Linked DNA regions of Arabidopsis thaliana. The protein of the gene in region 4 interacts with the protein of the main gene of each other region in a pairwise test. Each region holds a gene or a part of one and is shown on either strand. Other genes may lie near its edges. The genes, in order: MEE8, PAR1, MAF1 and ALC.

Evidence for each region.
Region 1: the proteins of ALC (region 4) and MEE8 interact in a two-hybrid assay, tested with the Arabidopsis thaliana proteins (one large-scale study listed by BioGRID).
Region 2: the proteins of ALC (region 4) and PAR1 interact in a two-hybrid assay, tested with the Arabidopsis thaliana proteins (one large-scale study listed by BioGRID).
Region 3: the proteins of ALC (region 4) and MAF1 interact in a two-hybrid assay, tested with the Arabidopsis thaliana proteins (one large-scale study listed by BioGRID).

The regions. Positions count from the first base shown.
Region 1 is NC_003070.9:8,873,624-8,876,406, reverse strand, and holds MEE8 (basic helix-loop-helix (bHLH) DNA-binding family protein), read left to right. Parts: upstream 1-1,572; coding exon 1,573-1,800; intron 1,801-1,887; coding exon 1,888-1,953; intron 1,954-2,042; coding exon 2,043-2,102; intron 2,103-2,199; coding exon 2,200-2,283; downstream 2,284-2,783. UniProt on the Arabidopsis thaliana protein: Required during early embryo development, for the endosperm formation.
Region 2 is NC_003071.7:17,835,893-17,839,252, reverse strand, and holds PAR1 (phy rapidly regulated 1), read left to right. Parts: upstream 1-1,634; 5' UTR 1,635-2,065; coding exon 2,066-2,422; 3' UTR 2,423-2,837; downstream 2,838-3,360. UniProt on the Arabidopsis thaliana protein: Atypical bHLH transcription factor that acts as a negative regulator of a variety of shade avoidance syndrome (SAS) responses, including seedling elongation and photosynthetic pigment accumulation.
Region 3 is NC_003070.9:28,953,957-28,960,674, forward strand, and holds MAF1 (K-box region and MADS-box transcription factor family protein), read left to right. Parts: upstream 1-1,565; 5' UTR 1,566-1,722; coding exon 1,723-1,907; exon of another isoform or gene 1,908-4,354; coding exon of another isoform or gene 4,355-4,377; coding exon 4,378-4,435; intron 4,436-4,499; coding exon of another isoform or gene 4,500-4,545; intron 4,546-4,645; coding exon 4,646-4,888; intron 4,889-4,996; coding exon 4,997-5,038; coding exon of another isoform or gene 5,039-5,098; exon of another isoform or gene 5,099-5,194; coding exon of another isoform or gene 5,195-5,206; exon of another isoform or gene 5,207-5,373; coding exon 5,374-5,415; coding exon of another isoform or gene 5,416-5,457; exon of another isoform or gene 5,458-5,621; coding exon of another isoform or gene 5,622-5,654; exon of another isoform or gene 5,655-5,787; coding exon 5,788-5,889; 3' UTR 5,890-6,155; downstream 6,156-6,718. Other genes in the region: AT1G77090 (thylakoid lumenal protein (Mog1/PsbP/DUF1795-like photosystem II reaction center PsbP family protein)), read right to left, coding at 6,620-6,684. UniProt on the Arabidopsis thaliana protein: Probable transcription factor involved in the negative regulation of flowering time in both long and short days, probably through the photoperiodic and vernalization pathways. Prevents premature flowering.
Region 4 is NC_003076.8:26,784,545-26,788,225, reverse strand, and holds ALC (basic helix-loop-helix (bHLH) DNA-binding superfamily protein), read left to right. Parts: upstream 1-1,794; 5' UTR 1,795-1,887; coding exon 1,888-2,124; exon of another isoform or gene 2,125-2,236; coding exon 2,237-2,308; exon of another isoform or gene 2,309-2,398; coding exon 2,399-2,464; coding exon of another isoform or gene 2,465-2,542; coding exon 2,543-2,608; exon of another isoform or gene 2,609-2,702; coding exon 2,703-2,894; 3' UTR 2,895-3,120; downstream 3,121-3,681. Other genes in the region: AT5G67120 (RING/U-box superfamily protein), read left to right, coding at 136-396; ICU2 (DNA-directed DNA polymerase), read right to left, coding at 3,122-3,262, 3,350-3,424, 3,495-3,614. UniProt on the Arabidopsis thaliana protein: Required for the dehiscence of fruit, especially for the separation of the valve cells from the replum. Promotes the differentiation of a strip of labile nonlignified cells sandwiched between layers of lignified cells.

The DNA.
Region 1 (2,783 bases), on a different chromosome or scaffold from region 4:
AGAACGTAAAAAGATTAAAATATCATTTTGTTTACTATTTTTTATCAGTAAAAGCACTTTACATATATATAGTGTGCCCCAGTAAAAGAGATGGTGGATACATGGAGCAGCAAAATATGAGTATAGACCAGAAAAGATAATCAAAGCTAGGCTCTAACTTTGGCACGTTGAAAATAGGAGCGTGTGTTCGAGAAGTTAGCCGTTGCTGTGGAGCACTGGAGCGCATAGACTATCTAACATCATTACCAAACTACGCAATCCACATGTATTACGCAATAACATGATCTCACTTGGTCTTTGTGTTTTTTTTCTTTTTTCTTTCTCTATTGCAGTTTTCTTTAATATTTTCGAAACATCATGTTTATTAATCTTGGTTTCCATGGATGCATATTTTACCTAAATAGTGCAACGTTGTCAAAACCAATTGTTTGGATCGATGATATAACACTCATGTTTAGAAACTATTTACTTTTTTAATATATAAAACTTTGAATCTGAAGAGTCCTAAACTAAGACTAACAAAATAGAGGGACTCATGATCCAAAAGTTCTTGAAATCAATCTTACTTATCATTATATACGGGTAATAAATTTCTCAATCTGTAGAATATTATATCGATTGTGTAAATTTTAAACTATGAATTTTCATATTTCAAAAACAAAATAGCTCAATTTAACATTGTTTTCCATATCCCGAGATTATAAAGCATTTACGATCACCTGAGATATAAAAAACAAAAAATAGTTCATTTGTGAGTTATAAATATGTCACGTAAAATTGTTATAACCTCATGTTGTGTAACTTCTTAAAGAAACTACAAATTAATTTAAAAAATCATCCCAGAGATTTAGTTAAAGAAATTATTACCATGTCACCCATACATATAGACAAATAAGGCTGATGTCAAAACTTTAGTGCTAGATAAGATTTTAGAAAGTCTAAATCCCAACATACATGCTGAATGCTGACAAAGATCATGCCGCATGACAAACAAGGTTGCCGCATGATAAACAAGGTTGCCGCATGAACCGTTTTATAACCGGATATCTCCCTTAGCAACTCAAGGTTCTCTCTAAACCGGAAGGTACCATTCAGAAATATTGTAACTTACATCACTAGATTAATTAGATCATTCTCGAAAATATTTAAATATTTGTATTAAAGGTACGACGTAGAGTACTCCTAATGCATGTGGAGTTCTGAGTAAACGATTACAAGAGCCTCGTGACTTCGTAAGGTCCTAATATTGTCGTATTATGTGTGTATATATCCTGCATTCCAAAATCTCTAATTTTTTAAACCGTAGACTTAGGTCAAAAATGGACACGTTACATTTCTTGGCTATATCTATGAACCTTAGATGTCCACCTTACATAAATGTAATTTTATTTAAAGAATTAGTAACTTAGTGACGAAGAGTAGCTTTTTGAGCGGCAAACGTTGTTGTTTCTCGTCATGAGTAGTTTACATATATATCCTTTTCTCCCTGTATAAGTACCCTTGAAGCATGTCTGCGTTAAACTCAAATCAGCCAAACTTATCAGTAAAGAATCACTTAAAACTATCAAAAGAATGAACAAGGACGAAGTATTTCTTCGGCAATGGTTTGAGATACTATACTCGCTCACTAATCCAGAGGCGAATAGTGACTTGCGTAGGATCAACAACGAAAAAGGTGTAGAGAAAGTAGGGCAAAAGAGGTCAGCTGAGTCGAGGAGAGAAGGAAAGAAGAAGCGAGTTAAGACACAGTGCGTGATTAAATCTTCAGACAAATCTGATCATGATACCTTGTTGAAGAAGGTAACCAATAATAGTTGTATTGTTATGATACGTCTTCCCCAAGAAACTCTTGATTTACTCTTTTCTCTTCTTTGGATACCTTAGAAGAAACGGCGGGAACGTATAAGAAGGCAACTAGAAACACTTAAGGAAATTACACCCAACTGCCCACAGGTTCACAACTGCTTCCTTTGTTAACTGATTTTTTTTTCTTGGGAAATGTTAGTTTTGTTAATGTTTTTTTTTTCCGTATAATCTTACAGTCTGATATCAACGCCATCCTTGATTGCGTTATCGAGTACACGAACAACTTGCGCCTTGCAGTTCTTTTCGGAGGTAATTTTTTTTTATGGCCATACTCTGATCTGTTCGTTAAAGATTATTTATCTTTCTGGTTTTTAAATTTCTCTTCATTTCCAGCATTACAAGGGTTCGCAGGGAATATGTGACGACTGGAGACTGTTTACTGAAGCTGGTGCCGTTTTGTATTATATAGATACTTGATAAAAGTTTCGATTAGCTAAGTTTTCTTATTTTCTCAGTTGTTCTTTGTTGGTTTGTTATAATCAAATTGTATGTTTTTGGTTTAAATATTACGAGTTATGTTTTAGCCTCAGTTCTTCGTTTGTTTGTTATAATAAAATTGTATGTTTTTGGTTTAGATGTTACGAGTTATGTTTTAGCCATGAGACCATCTTTAATTAAATTCCGTTCGGAACTTAGTACTACTGGATCTTGCAAATTAAAAGTTAATGATTTGATCAGTCAATACTCGAACACTAGGCGCCTACTGTCCGCCATTTTCTTTTAATAAAAACCTTATGATATGTTTTGGTCTTCATGAAAAATTAATCTGTTAACAACCGGACCTAGTATCAGTGTATGATCCTTAAAACAAGTAATTCAATTTAAAAAATTAGGATAAGTGTTAGATGAATTGATCTTATATCTAAATATTTGTATGTGTTTATGATTAATTGAAAGTATTTAAAATACGGAAATTT
Region 2 (3,360 bases), on a different chromosome or scaffold from region 4:
AATCCCGAGAAACCAAACCCTCCTTCGTCCCCTCTTTGGAAACATCATCTCTTTCTTTATTTCTCTCTTCCATCTTCTTCTTCTTCTAAAACAACATCTTAACAATTTTTAGTATTACTAAAAACCCTAGACGTAAAAGAAATGTGTTATTCTGTTCCTGATCTTTGTCTTAATTAAGACCATACATTATTTCTTTTAATTAGATGTCAATCATTATTCTTTACTAAATTTTTTTTCTTGAGTAGATTTAGGTTAATTTGCAATCTTGGATTAAAGACCTACAAAAATGCAATTGTTTTTTTTTAATGCAATTATTTTTTATTAAGTCTTTATCTAGTTTTTATATCATATAGTTGACAAAAGAAATGCACCGGAGGGCTCATTTATGGAACCAACATTAAGTAAGATTTACTATAACGGTTTTATGTATAAAAGATGTATATTATAAAGATCTCTAGCTAGAAACATGTAACACTATATTCGAATCCAATAACACTAAACTTCCTTGGCTTTCTTCTTGTTATATAGTGGCCATTTCTCTAACATTATAGATATATTGAGATTGTTGTTTTTACGTGGTAAGAAATATGGGATGTTAATTGGAGTTTCTTTTAATAAGAAAAAGGAGTTGACAAAAAAAAAATGAAGGACAGATTTAGGAGGTCACTGAGGTGGGGGGGACCCAAAAAAGGGTTGACACGTGGCCACCATGCCCGATAGATATCATGTGGATCTTAGTAGGATTAGGTCCTCAATTGTACGAACAAGTTCACTATCTCTTAGAGGATCTATTTGATCTCATCCATCTAATAATAATACTATATTACAGTCTGTACATAATGTATAGAGAGGAGGAAGCACATGGGAATGGGGCTTTGAAGATGGAGATATTCATGTGACCCGCACATGTCCTCTCCTCTCTCTTCCTTGTTCCCATGCAAGTAGTGTCTCACTGTATCCTTCTTCTTTTCCTTCCTTATCTCCACGCGCGTGGTCGTTTTCATTTCGTCCGTACTACGTAATTACGACAAAACTTACTCTTATACCATCAGGCATTAGTCCATTACCAGGCACCACCCGAATGGCCTATAAGCATAAGTGCATAACTATAGGGTTTGTCGTCGTCTACTTGAATTTTTCTTTTGGAAATTTAAGCTCACATAAAATAGTTTATACTCTTTATTCTTGTTGTAGAAAATAAGACTGGTAACTATGCAAAACAACGTATAGCAGCTATTACATTTATGGCTAAACCAGATCACAAACCATTTAGAGTTTAAATTAAAGTTCGAATAATATTTTAGCAAGTAATCCGGCTTGATAAATAAATGAGACACTTGCTAAAAGTAATCCGGCTTGTATTAACAACGCATATCCTAATACAATAATAAAGCATTGTTGTATAATTAGTTAATTACTATGTCAAACGTCTAGCTCTTAAACAAACAAATTTAACGTGCCAAATCTCATTTATCAAACAAACAAAAAAATCCAATCTAGATGCGAGGTTGATCCACTTAAGTGAGTGATGAGTCCACTAAAGTCTAAACCAGTCGACATGGCGCGTGAAAGCTCTTCTTCTAAAGATCCAAATCTGTGGAAGCAACCAAAGTAAGAGATAATTAAATAAATCTCCACAATCCGAAACACGAGGATAATAAAATTAAAAATAACGCACAACTGGACCCAGCTTTGATGGCAATACCGCTCATTTAACCATTTCCCAATTTCTAAATGTAGAATTTATTTTATATCGTTTCAATTTTTACATCGTTTTTTATAGACAAACCAAACCAAAATTCGTTCATAACCGAACCTTTCACTAATGTAAGCAAACAATGTAACATAAAGCATAGCAAACCAAATCAAACCGATAGAGTATTGTCTCTAAACTCGCAACAAACCAAAATAAAATCAGGTTGAACCGACCACATTTCAACATTTTTGTCTACTAAATCCATCATCACTCATATATATATATATAACACACACAGTTACACATATCCACATTCCTTACTTGTTCATTATTCTCTCAGACTCATCATTCATCTCTCTCTTTCTTTCAATGGAAGAAACTCTAGCCACTCCCGACGCCACGAGACGCTCTCTGTCACCGTCATGCTCAGCCACCGTGAAATCACGCGCCGCTGGTTTCGAGCGCAGAACCAAACGGAGATTGTCAGAGACTAACGCAAGCGTACGTGAAGACCGAGAAGAAGCAGAAGAAGAAGAAGATGAGGTCAAGGAAAAGATTGAGGCGTTGCAGAGGATTATCCCCGGAGGAGCGGCGCTTGGTGTGGACGCGCTCTTCGAAGAGACAGCTGGTTACATTCTGTCTCTACAATGTCAGATCAAAACCATTAAAGTCCTTACTTCGTTTCTTCAACGCATAGATCAAGAAGACATGAAGTTCGGAGGTTGAAGATTATCACACCAAGACTGCTCTTCTTTCTTCGATTCCTAAAAACAAAAAAAAACGTTTTTTTTTTTCAAATCTTTTATTTCCTTTTTTATAACATGGGATTTTAGCTTTGATATATGAGGAAAGAGACTCAACATTTTTTTCTTCGAATTTTTTTTTTCTTTAGTAGGAGTATAATCTTTAATTTTAATGTTCTGATTTATTTATTAAGCCGTTTCACGGTTATGAGAAGTGTTCATTAACGAAAATTAGCATTAATTAATGTAGTTATATAACTTATTTTAGTAGGACGCCATATAGTATAGATATTAAATTGGATCACGAGGTTTCACTTGCATATGAGATTTGACATTAATGATATTGAGAAAGTTAATGTTACGTGGCCCATTTTTAAATCTGGATGAGCTCATTTCACATGCTTTATTATAACAAAGATTTCCAAAGTCGGTCGATATTTATTTAAGCTTATGATGAACTTACTAGATTTGAGTTCCCGTGGTCCAACAATAGAGTTCATGTATATTCCTTGTACATACATATACAAGACAAATCTTTTTAGTCGTGTAAGTACTAGAGCTAGCATCTACACAGAAATTTAAACACATTTGCCGCTAGAAAAAAAACAATATCAGTTTTAGTATTCATTATAACGTAATTTCTGACCCACAACAATGCAGCTATATCGAACTCTATGGAACTATTTACTCCACACATAGCGGAAAGTCGGGGAAGATATAATTTTCTTACCAACCCTATCTACTCTCTATCCAAATTACATTACAAAGATGAATTTAAGGTTGAACATCGTATAGTACGAAGTTGTAATCAATAATGTTAACTTCAACATCCTTTACCAAACCAAAATTTAAAATAAAAACCATTGATAGATTATAACTAATCACATCCTGTATGGGCTAAAAGCCTAAAAGATTACGATT
Region 3 (6,718 bases), on a different chromosome or scaffold from region 4:
TTGGGCCTACAACATCCAATTTCATGTAGTGACTTGTTTTTGCCTTTTTCACATCTCAACAAATTGGGTCGTTTGTATTTAAGAAATTGTTACAGCTTTTTAGACTGAATTTTACTTTATGGCTTTATGCTCTCTTTTTCCGTTTTGATTAAGGGTGAATATGTAAACTGTTGATACCATCTGATTTTTTTTATTTTTTATTTTTCTTGTGTGCAACTATACCATCTGAATTCAATTGACATTTTAGCCAAATAAAAAAGATTGGTCCACTTGGATGGCTGTAAAAAAGTTTAGTGGAAGTATTTATAGGGCTTGTTGGCAATCTTCACCAACGGCTATAATGTTGATCTTTTTAAAATTAAACTTACCGTTCGACTGTCTTCTCAACGATTTGACAATTAGCCGTTAGATTAGTATTACTGATTTATTATTAACAAACCCATTTCTTTTCTTATTTTTGAATAAGCTAAATCAGGCCAATAAAAGGGACAAGTAGAGATGGGCTATTTCTTTTTTTCTCTTTTTTTTTTTCTTATGTAGTAGAGAAAAGCCTTTATTCTTAGAGCTATCATTTACCACCCATTAACCAGAAGCTGAGAAATGAAGCAAGCCGAAACGAATTTGTAGTTTTGGACGGTGAAATTATATCGGGCCTTTAATGGGCATGTGAATAGAGTTGAGAGTCTTTTTGCCCCAAATAATCGTTTAAGGGAGTATTGGCTCGTTGGTTTAATATTGGGCCGAAACGAGATTGGGAAGAAGAACAATGTCGGTTTAATCCGGTTAGGGTCGTGGGCTGATTCTGGTTCACCTTTATAGCGTAAGCGAACAAACATTGAAAATGGGGAAGCCAAATTAGTTACCATCCCTAACTCAGTTTTGAGACGTAGTATGAATGAGCCACGGCAGAACCTACGACCTAACTCGATAAAGTAATGGTTACTCTTGGAGACGGAAGAAAGCACAAAGATTTTGATAAGGCTTTCTAGTTGGTGAAATGGTCAAAATCGCTCGGAGAGCCATCATAGGAGCGGGGAGGTGCTATCTGAATATCCCAATGCATCAAGACAAGATGGATTCAGAAAACAAAGAAATTAAACAAACATTTTAAAATATGCTCTTAGTTTTAGATAATATAATGTTTTCAATACCAATTATCTTACACTGATAGTGGTCAAGTTACTAATCACTTTTAATAAATTGGTGATAGTCAAACGTATTGAAAATTATCGATTTAAAAATATTTGAATTCAAAACCATTTTAGTGAAAGTTTGCATTGTAGTTTTGATTATCCGATCAATCTTTAATATAATTACGTCAATAATAACTGAAATCCTTGAATTAACCGTTACCCGATTCATAAGCACTACTTTCCGATCAAAACCAATGAGATAAAATAACTTTTAAACCCTCCAAATAAAAAGAGAAAACCTTAAAAACCAATTTCTGTTCGGTGGGGATGATGATCGGACTCGGACCGGTCTAACCGACTGGATTAAAAAGTCTTTAACAACGACAAGCTTAAAAATTTGCCTCTTAGTGGCTTCAAAACGCAATCGTTTCGCTTAATACTATTATTTTCTCTATCTCGTTTAACCAAAAAAAAAAACGAGTTGGAGGAAAAAAAAAACCAAGAAAAAAGAATAAAAAGCAAAAAGCATTGAGCGTCTCCGGAGATTAGGATTAAATTAGGGCATAACCCTTATCGGAGATTTGAAGCCATGGGAAGAAGAAAAATCGAGATCAAGCGAATCGAGAACAAAAGCAGTCGACAAGTCACTTTCTCCAAACGACGCAATGGTCTCATCGACAAAGCTCGACAACTTTCGATTCTCTGTGAATCCTCCGTCGCTGTTGTCGTCGTATCTGCCTCCGGAAAACTCTATGACTCTTCCTCCGGTGACGAGTAAGAAGATACTTTCCTTTTCTGGGTCTCACTCGATTTTTGTGCTTTTTTACTTTGTTTAATTACTTTCTCCATATAGAAGCTTCAAATCTAGGGCTTTTTGATTCCATCAAATCAACTGAGATTTTCTCCTTGTTTTCTGTATGAAGATAGCAGATGCGTAAGCTTTAACCTAATTTAAGACTAAACATTTTGATCGCCAAGATATGTTCTTGATGTTCGTTTCGTGTTTTTTTTTTCGTGTTTTTTTTTTTTTCATTTTAAAATCATTTTTATCTCTTTTTTTACCTTCATTTGTGACGAAATTTAATATTGCATGTTATTCAAGAAACTTTTCTACACGTGGTGATTCGTTCTTGATGTTGTTTAAGTAATCTTTGTATTGCTAGTTCCATCTGTTGTTCACTTTGAAGCTTCGTTTTTTCATATAAGAAACAATATGTTTAGATTGTTCAAATTTTGAGATTTGGTAATTATATTCAATATTGCAATGCACTTCAAGTAGTTTTGTTGAGAGATTATTTGGGGTTAGTGGTAACATTAATCGAATATCTTTGGTTCAAATTGGTTAACACATTGTACTTTATGTTGATCCAAAATGTATTGTAGATCTTTTCTTTTGTAATTCTCTTTAAGGAATAAGGTTTATCTAGTTGATTTTGATGGTTTATTGTAGTGCTGGGATAAGTTTCCACATTGATACTCGCCACACATTCTTCATTACTTAACTAATTGGATATCGATTTTAACCCTTTTAATCGTAATTTGTTGTGTGTTTATGACACCATACAAGATACATTATGTCTTACTGAGTGACTCTTTGTTGCTCTCTAAGATGTTGTAGTTTGGATTTCTTTGCTAAAGAAACTCAAACTATAACTGATTTTACTGCTACCATATATATGTCAGTGGCCTAGTAGGTTCATTAAGTAGAAATCGGTCGCCAATTTTACTAATTGGGAGAAACCACTAGACTACAACCAAATGTTCAATGACTTTAATAGTCTTCTGTTATTTGTCGTGGATATTTTTAACCCCATGAACTTTTGTATCTAGAAAAATCTCATCCACTTCTCTTTTAGAATACTTTGAATGCGACTAAAAGTGAGTTTTTTTTTTCTAATAGACCTAAGATAAAATCATCAATGGATAAGTAGGAAATGGAAAGGTAACTCTTGTCAGTATGTGTATATATACAGCTCCTTCTCATTTCCTTGATGTTGACTCCATAAATGCTTGATCATGAAAGCAAATTTGTTAAATTTGTAACCAACAAAATGCACAGACTATAGACGAAGTATTAGGAACCGTATCTATCTGTCTCCATTTTACAATAGTCAAGCTCTAGTTGTAGCTAGTTTCTTTATTTAGTTCTTATACCTTAACAAAGTGGCACTATGCAAAGTGTTTTTAGTTGAGATTAGTCGTCTTATGCGTCTTACTAATTGTTCATTTTTTCTTCTTTTTGTGATTGATGTAAAATTACTAAGTCACAACTTGAGATGTTACTAAAAAGATAAGAACGTGTAATAACTGAAGTGAATTTGAAGCCAGTCTCTATTCATATCATAGCATTAATAGATCATGGACAACACATATATAGGATTAGAGCTGTCATGACCTTCCCGGAAATGCTAAATCAGTTTCTTGGTTTATCCTTTTTGGAGTATCATGATATCATTTAGCCAAAGGTTTTTGGTTTCAGTATTCCGATTCGTTTGACGTTATGTGTGAAAGCGTCAATAACTAAAACTTGGATTGACTAGTCAAAATATAAACTGATTGCATTGAATTCTTGAAAATTTTCCCTTAAAATGAACATGAATTTCATCAAGATTTTGTCTTTTGGAAGGATGTGATTTATAATCTATACAATCATACATTTTGCATGATATTAGTTTTTTGAAGAACCAAAAATAGAGCTTCTTTATAAAACTGATTTAGCCTTGATAAGAAAAAGAAGGTAGATAATCGAACTCATGGGGATGAGTTAAAAATGTGTGCACTTAGTTTCTAAAACCTTTTGAAGTCGAAACAATGACAATATTGGCTGCGAAGTTGATATATAACAGGATCTTAAAGTTGAAATTGTAAATTCAGATTTTAATTTTAGAGCACCAGATGATCAGAGTTTCAGATTTACATTTGAAGTATAAAACATTTTGAACACATATATCTAAAGCAGTAACTTCAAAAATAGGGTAACTAATAGTAACTTACATTGTTTTTTTTAATGCTTTTATACTTACTATCATTTTTATATATAGATGCCTGGTTAAGTAAAGATGATTATCAAAAACTGTTGGTTAGTAACAGAAATTGTTGCAAATGTAACATATTATATAAGCTTTCTTTCACTTTGGTGCATTCTCTCTAAATAATGGCCTCTATTGATGCAGTATCTGATTCTTAGTTTTGAAATGGTTTTTGCATAAATTATTGTTCTAATGCATTTTTGTTTTATCTCCAGCATTTCCAAGATCATTGATCGTTATGAAATACAACATGCTGATGAACTTAGAGCCTTAGTAAGTAATTAGCTAAGAACGTCATTCTAATATTCTTCTGGATGCGGTTTTTGGTGTTATGAAGGATAGAAGCGCTGTTCAAGCCGGAGAAACCTCAATGTTTTGAACTCGTAACACCGAACTTAATTCTCTAGAGTTACAGTTATTGTGTCTACTGGAAAATACAAGAACTTCACAATCTTTCTGACCATTCCTTTTCTTCATGTGCAGGATCTTGAAGAAAAAATTCAGAATTATCTTCCACACAAGGAGTTACTAGAAACAGTCCAAAGGTTAGCAGTACGACACATTTTTCTCCCCTCTTCTTCTGATAAAAAAAATGTTTTTTTTCTTTTGTCTACTTGTGAATACAGCAAGCTTGAAGAACCAAATGTCGATAATGTAAGTGTAGATTCTCTAATTTCTCTGGAGGAACAACTTGAGACTGCTCTGTCCGTAAGTAGAGCTAGGAAGGTATATGTGCTGCTACTAAGTGATTCAACCAATTACTCCACAAAACCTTCTTTTTAGTTAGTTATCCTAGAACAATCTTTTGACATAAATCTTAATGTCTTGTTATAGGCAGAACTGATGATGGAGTATATCGAGTCCCTTAAAGAAAAGGTTAGTGCTTTGGTTTTTATTTTCGATAAAGGCCATATTCTAGGCTATGATGATTCTTGAATTCTATTAACCTGCTGAGTCTACAGATTACTATATATATATATATATATCTTTTGGTCTTGTCTTAGTTCCTGATTTAGTATTGGCTTCATTCAGGTGAAACCCTAATGAGAATTAAAAAAACAAGCAGTTTTAAACTCTTGATCAAATCCAACCTTTCCCTCATAAAGTGTCGAATTTGGATGAGGATGATTTATGTTTCGAGAAGGAAACATGTTTGGAAATAGCTATAGAAGTTGTTAGAAACTAATGACCTTATGATCTTTTCCAAACAGGAGAAATTGCTGAGAGAAGAGAACCAGGTTCTGGCTAGCCAGGTAACAATGACCACAATATCTTCTGCTCTTGAAGCTAATTAATCACTTTATACGTCCCCGTTATAGAGAGATACACATATACACGTACATGAAAACTAAAAGTTGAAGGACTTTGATGGATACTAGACAATTATAGTGAAACCCTAAATATGTGATAAGTGATAACAAAATGCTTTTAAAATCTATCTTTCTTGTTAATTTAGTAGCTGTCAGAGAAGAAAGGTATGTCTCACCGATGAAAGATACTCAAAACCCGGTATTTTTAATTTGTGAAATTTGCAAATAAAAAAAATGCTTTCTACAAGATAGATTAATTTCTTGCAATGTTTAGTAGCTGTAGAAAAAAAAGAAATGTAAGAAAGTTTCTTACAGATGGGAAAGAATACGTTGCTGGCAACAGATGATGAGAGAGGAATGTTTCCGGGAAGTAGCTCCGGCAACAAAATACCGGAGACTCTCCCGCTGCTCAATTAGCCACCATCATCAACGGCTGAGTTTTCACCTTAAACTCAAAGCCTGATTCATAATTAAGAGAATAAATTTGTATATTATAAAAAGCTGTGTAATCTCAAACCTTTTATCTTCCTCTAGTGTGGAATTTAAGGTCAAAAAGAAAACGAGAAAGTATGGATCAGTGTTGTACCTCCTTCGGAGACAAGATCAGAGTTTGTGTGTTTGTGTCTGAATGTACGGATTGGATTTTTAAAGTTGTGCTTTCTTTCTTCAGCGTGAAGAACCCTAGACCTTCTTATTTCTTTTTTTTTTTACTTTTTTTTTTTATAACTTTAATTATTTGATTATTTGTCTTACATTACGTGGCAAAGTTATTTAGTTGCATCTCTTTTAATTTGATCAAAACCATATCAGATATTTTGCTCTTTTTTCCAAGTTTAGTGATTCTGTTTTTGAGAGCTCCAAACTATATAAGATATTTTTCACCTTTTCCAAGTTTTATTATTTGTGTTTTTGAAGAACTCAAAAAAGCCAGCTTTTGAACTCTGTTTCATGTTTTGGTTCTTTCTGATGAATCCAGATCCATACAACCGTATGCCAAACTCACTGCTCGTATGTTGTTTAGTATAATATTACAGGATTCTCAACTTTTTACAAATACACATTTATGTACCGCTCTTTGTGTTCTTAGTCTTGAGAAACACTTGAGTAACTTGTTGAAGATCTGATATATCCAAAAAAGTTCTAAAGTCTAAACAATGCGGAATGAACTAGCTATCCTCTTCAGATCCTTGTAGTGTCTCTTCCATTGAAGACCTATAGAATCAAACATAAGCAGAGCAATTAACTA
Region 4 (3,681 bases):
ATCCTAGATGTAGAAGAGATTAGGACTCTCTTTAATAAAAATTATATGTACCATTTTGGTTTCTTGATTCTAGAGTTGTATAAGCTGCAGAGTTTAGATATCGATAATTTTATGAATGAATCTTTTTTTTTCTAGGAATTATTGAGCATCACTGACGAAACAGGAGATGAACGCACTGGTTTAAGCGAGGAAGTGATTGATGAGAATCTAATAAGAAGGAAATATGAAAAGCGTAGCGACGATGAAACGAAGAGATGTGTGATCTGTCAGCAGAAATTGAAGGACAATGAAGAAGTTTCGAAACTGGGATGTGGGCATGACTTTCACTTCGGATGCATCAAGAATTGGCTAATGGTCACGAACAAGTGTCCTCTTTGCAACCGAGAAGTCGTTTAAATGTTTTATCAAGTTTGAAAGATTCCGTTTATCTCGTTGGATTTCAGTTTTTTTGTTTCTTTCTTTTGCTATGAACCATAATTACCAATATTTCCCTTTTTATCAAGTTAGAAAGATTCCATTTATTTAGATGGCAAGTTGGATTTTGATTTGATTTCTGATTTTGATTATTATCATCTATATATATATTTTTGCAGCCACTTTGTGAAATAAATTCTGGAGTTGGGATTTATTTACAGCGGCTGTCATTGGCATTTAATAATTGTTTTTGATAATTAGAAAGAAAATCTTCTAATTAAATATTTGACATTTAACAATCTTTCCAAAATCTCTCTACCTTAACTACACGATTAATTACTAAAATAAAACTTCTAAAATATTTAATATCATTTAATTACTACAAAATTATCATTTTTGATATTGCTTTTCTGCATGATTATAATCATCAAACCGTAGAGATATTTGATAACATTTAATTACTACAAAATTACAAAATATTTAGACAATAATTCATAAACATATCATAAATAAGATCACATTCATAAAATAAATGAGTTTTTTTAGAGGACGGGTTGGCGGGACGGGTTTGGCAGGACGTTACTTAATAACAATTGTAAACTATACAATAAAAATATTTTATAGATAGATACAATTTACAAACTTTTATATATATTAATTTAAAAAATAAATTGTTTTCGCGGTATACCGCGGGTTAAAATCTAGTTATTCTTATTTTTGCTATGAACCATAATTATTTTAATTACTATATTATATATATTTCCCTTTGGATGCATTAAAAAAAGGCTAATGATCAAGGACATGTTATCGTCTTTGTATTGACCATTATAATATCTGAATTTTATTTTGTGTTAAATAATCTCTCGAATAAATAATCTTTCGAAATGCATGCAGTTTTATTCACACTTTATCTGTGGACAACAACAACAACAAAAAAGAAGGAAAAAATAGATTTTTGTAATTTGTCAAAAATGGTGAAACTGTTGCGAGACCTTACTTTTCAAGTAATTGTCCATTTTCATGTTTAGTCATAATAATAATTAAATAGTCTATCAATGCTCTATCTTATCAATACTCTTATTTTTTCAACCGTTTCATTTACTGATTTTCATAATTTCATCCCCTCCTCTCAATTTAACTTATCACATTGAAAAAAACAATAAAAATGTATGTTTTTTATTTACTTGGTGGTCCAAAAATGCTTTTTTCCTTTTTTTTATTAGGTAAAAAATATAATATTATTAAATAAAATTGCTACAAAAGGAAACTGTTCACACACAGAGTGATGTGAGACACCAGATTCTGTCTATAGGGATTCGACACGCCACTCGCCTCTTTTAGAACCTCCACGCGCTTCTCTGAAGAACGTGATCTCACGCGTCCTACCTCCCCCGCCTATAAGCTTTACTACGAAAAAGCCACAGTGATAATTTTTACACACAGAGTAGAGCAGAGAGAGAGAGAGAGAGAGAGATGGGTGATTCTGACGTCGGTGATCGTCTTCCCCCTCCATCTTCTTCCGACGAACTCTCGAGCTTTCTCCGACAGATTCTTTCCCGTACTCCTACAGCTCAACCTTCTTCACCACCGAAGAGTACTAATGTTTCCTCCGCTGAGACCTTCTTCCCTTCCGTTTCCGGCGGAGCTGTTTCTTCCGTCGGTTATGGAGTCTCTGAAACTGGCCAAGACAAATATGCTTTCGAACACAAGGTATAAACTTAACTATTCTTAGCTGCAGAGATGCTTCACTTGGCTTTCCTTGTAAAAGAAAACAAAAACCAAAATTAGTCTCTTTTCTTTTTGGAATGGCTAAACACTAAAGAGAAGTGGAGCTAAACAGAGAAATTCGTTGAAGAGAAACATTGATGCTCAATTCCACAACTTGTCTGAAAAGGTTTTCTCTTTTATCTTCCTTTTAAGATTCTTAATTTAGAAAGAAGAAGAACCTTGAGATTGTAGTTGATTAGAATCTGAGTGTTAGCAGAAGAGGAGGAGCAAGATCAACGAGAAAATGAAAGCTTTGCAGAAACTCATTCCCAATTCCAACAAGGTTAATCAATCTTTGTTCGAATCAGAGATAGTGAGAAACATTGTTCTGATTGATCCGTTATCTTTTGTTTGTTTATAGACTGATAAAGCCTCAATGCTTGATGAAGCTATAGAATATCTGAAGCAGCTTCAACTTCAAGTCCAGGTTTTTTTCCTACTTACTATGATTATATACGTTCAAAGTCTGATTTGTAAATTACATCACTCAGATCATTAACTTGATTTACTGCATGATGCAGACTTTAGCCGTTATGAATGGTTTAGGCTTAAACCCTATGCGATTACCACAGGTTCCACCTCCAACTCATACAAGGATCAATGAGACCTTAGAGCAAGACCTGAACCTAGAGACTCTTCTCGCTGCTCCTCACTCGCTGGAACCAGCTAAAACAAGTCAAGGAATGTGCTTTTCCACAGCCACTCTGCTTTGAAGATAACATTCAGACAATGATGATGATCGGAATTCCTCTAGTACCTGCCAGACAGGAGTGAACAATGTTTTGAGTTTTAGCATTGGCCAGATTTCTATGTTCAGTTATAGTTATGCTAATAAGCTTTAGGAGTGAACAAAATCTGAGTAGTTTGATTATAATGATGTCTGAAGCAGATTATATATAAAAGACTAATTTACTTACATATGAGATGATTATTACAACTATCAAATGACTATGTCTGTGAGTTGCATCCATCCATAAGCACACCGGTCTCTACTACTTCGAGTGATTGCTGCTGCTGACTTAACCGCAGGTCTTATCTTCGTCATTGCTTTCTCTACTTGAATTCTCACGCCAACATCCATCTGTTATTTCAAATGGTACCGATAACTTTAGGGATATAGACAAGACAAATTGATATTAATAATATAACAAGGTTGTAAAGTAGAAACCTTTTCTAAAGAGCATTGTGTGTCTAAGATGTGGCAGAAGTATGACAGTTGCTTGTACAAGTCTGCTTCAGTGTACTGTAAAGTCAAGAGTTAGTCTGTGAAGCAATAGAGAGATAGGAGTTATAAGGTTGATGATGGTATATACCTTTCGTAAGAGGGTTCCGTTACAGTTAGGATAGTTTGGGCAAACTGTCCCCCGTTCACGTTCACCGAGTAGACGAAAGTTGGGGGAGCGGGTTGTGTGCTTGCATGACTCGTCTTCACACTGTTGAAGGCAAAATGTACAAGAAAACGTCTTAGCATAAATTAAGAAGGACAAATCACAAATGTTC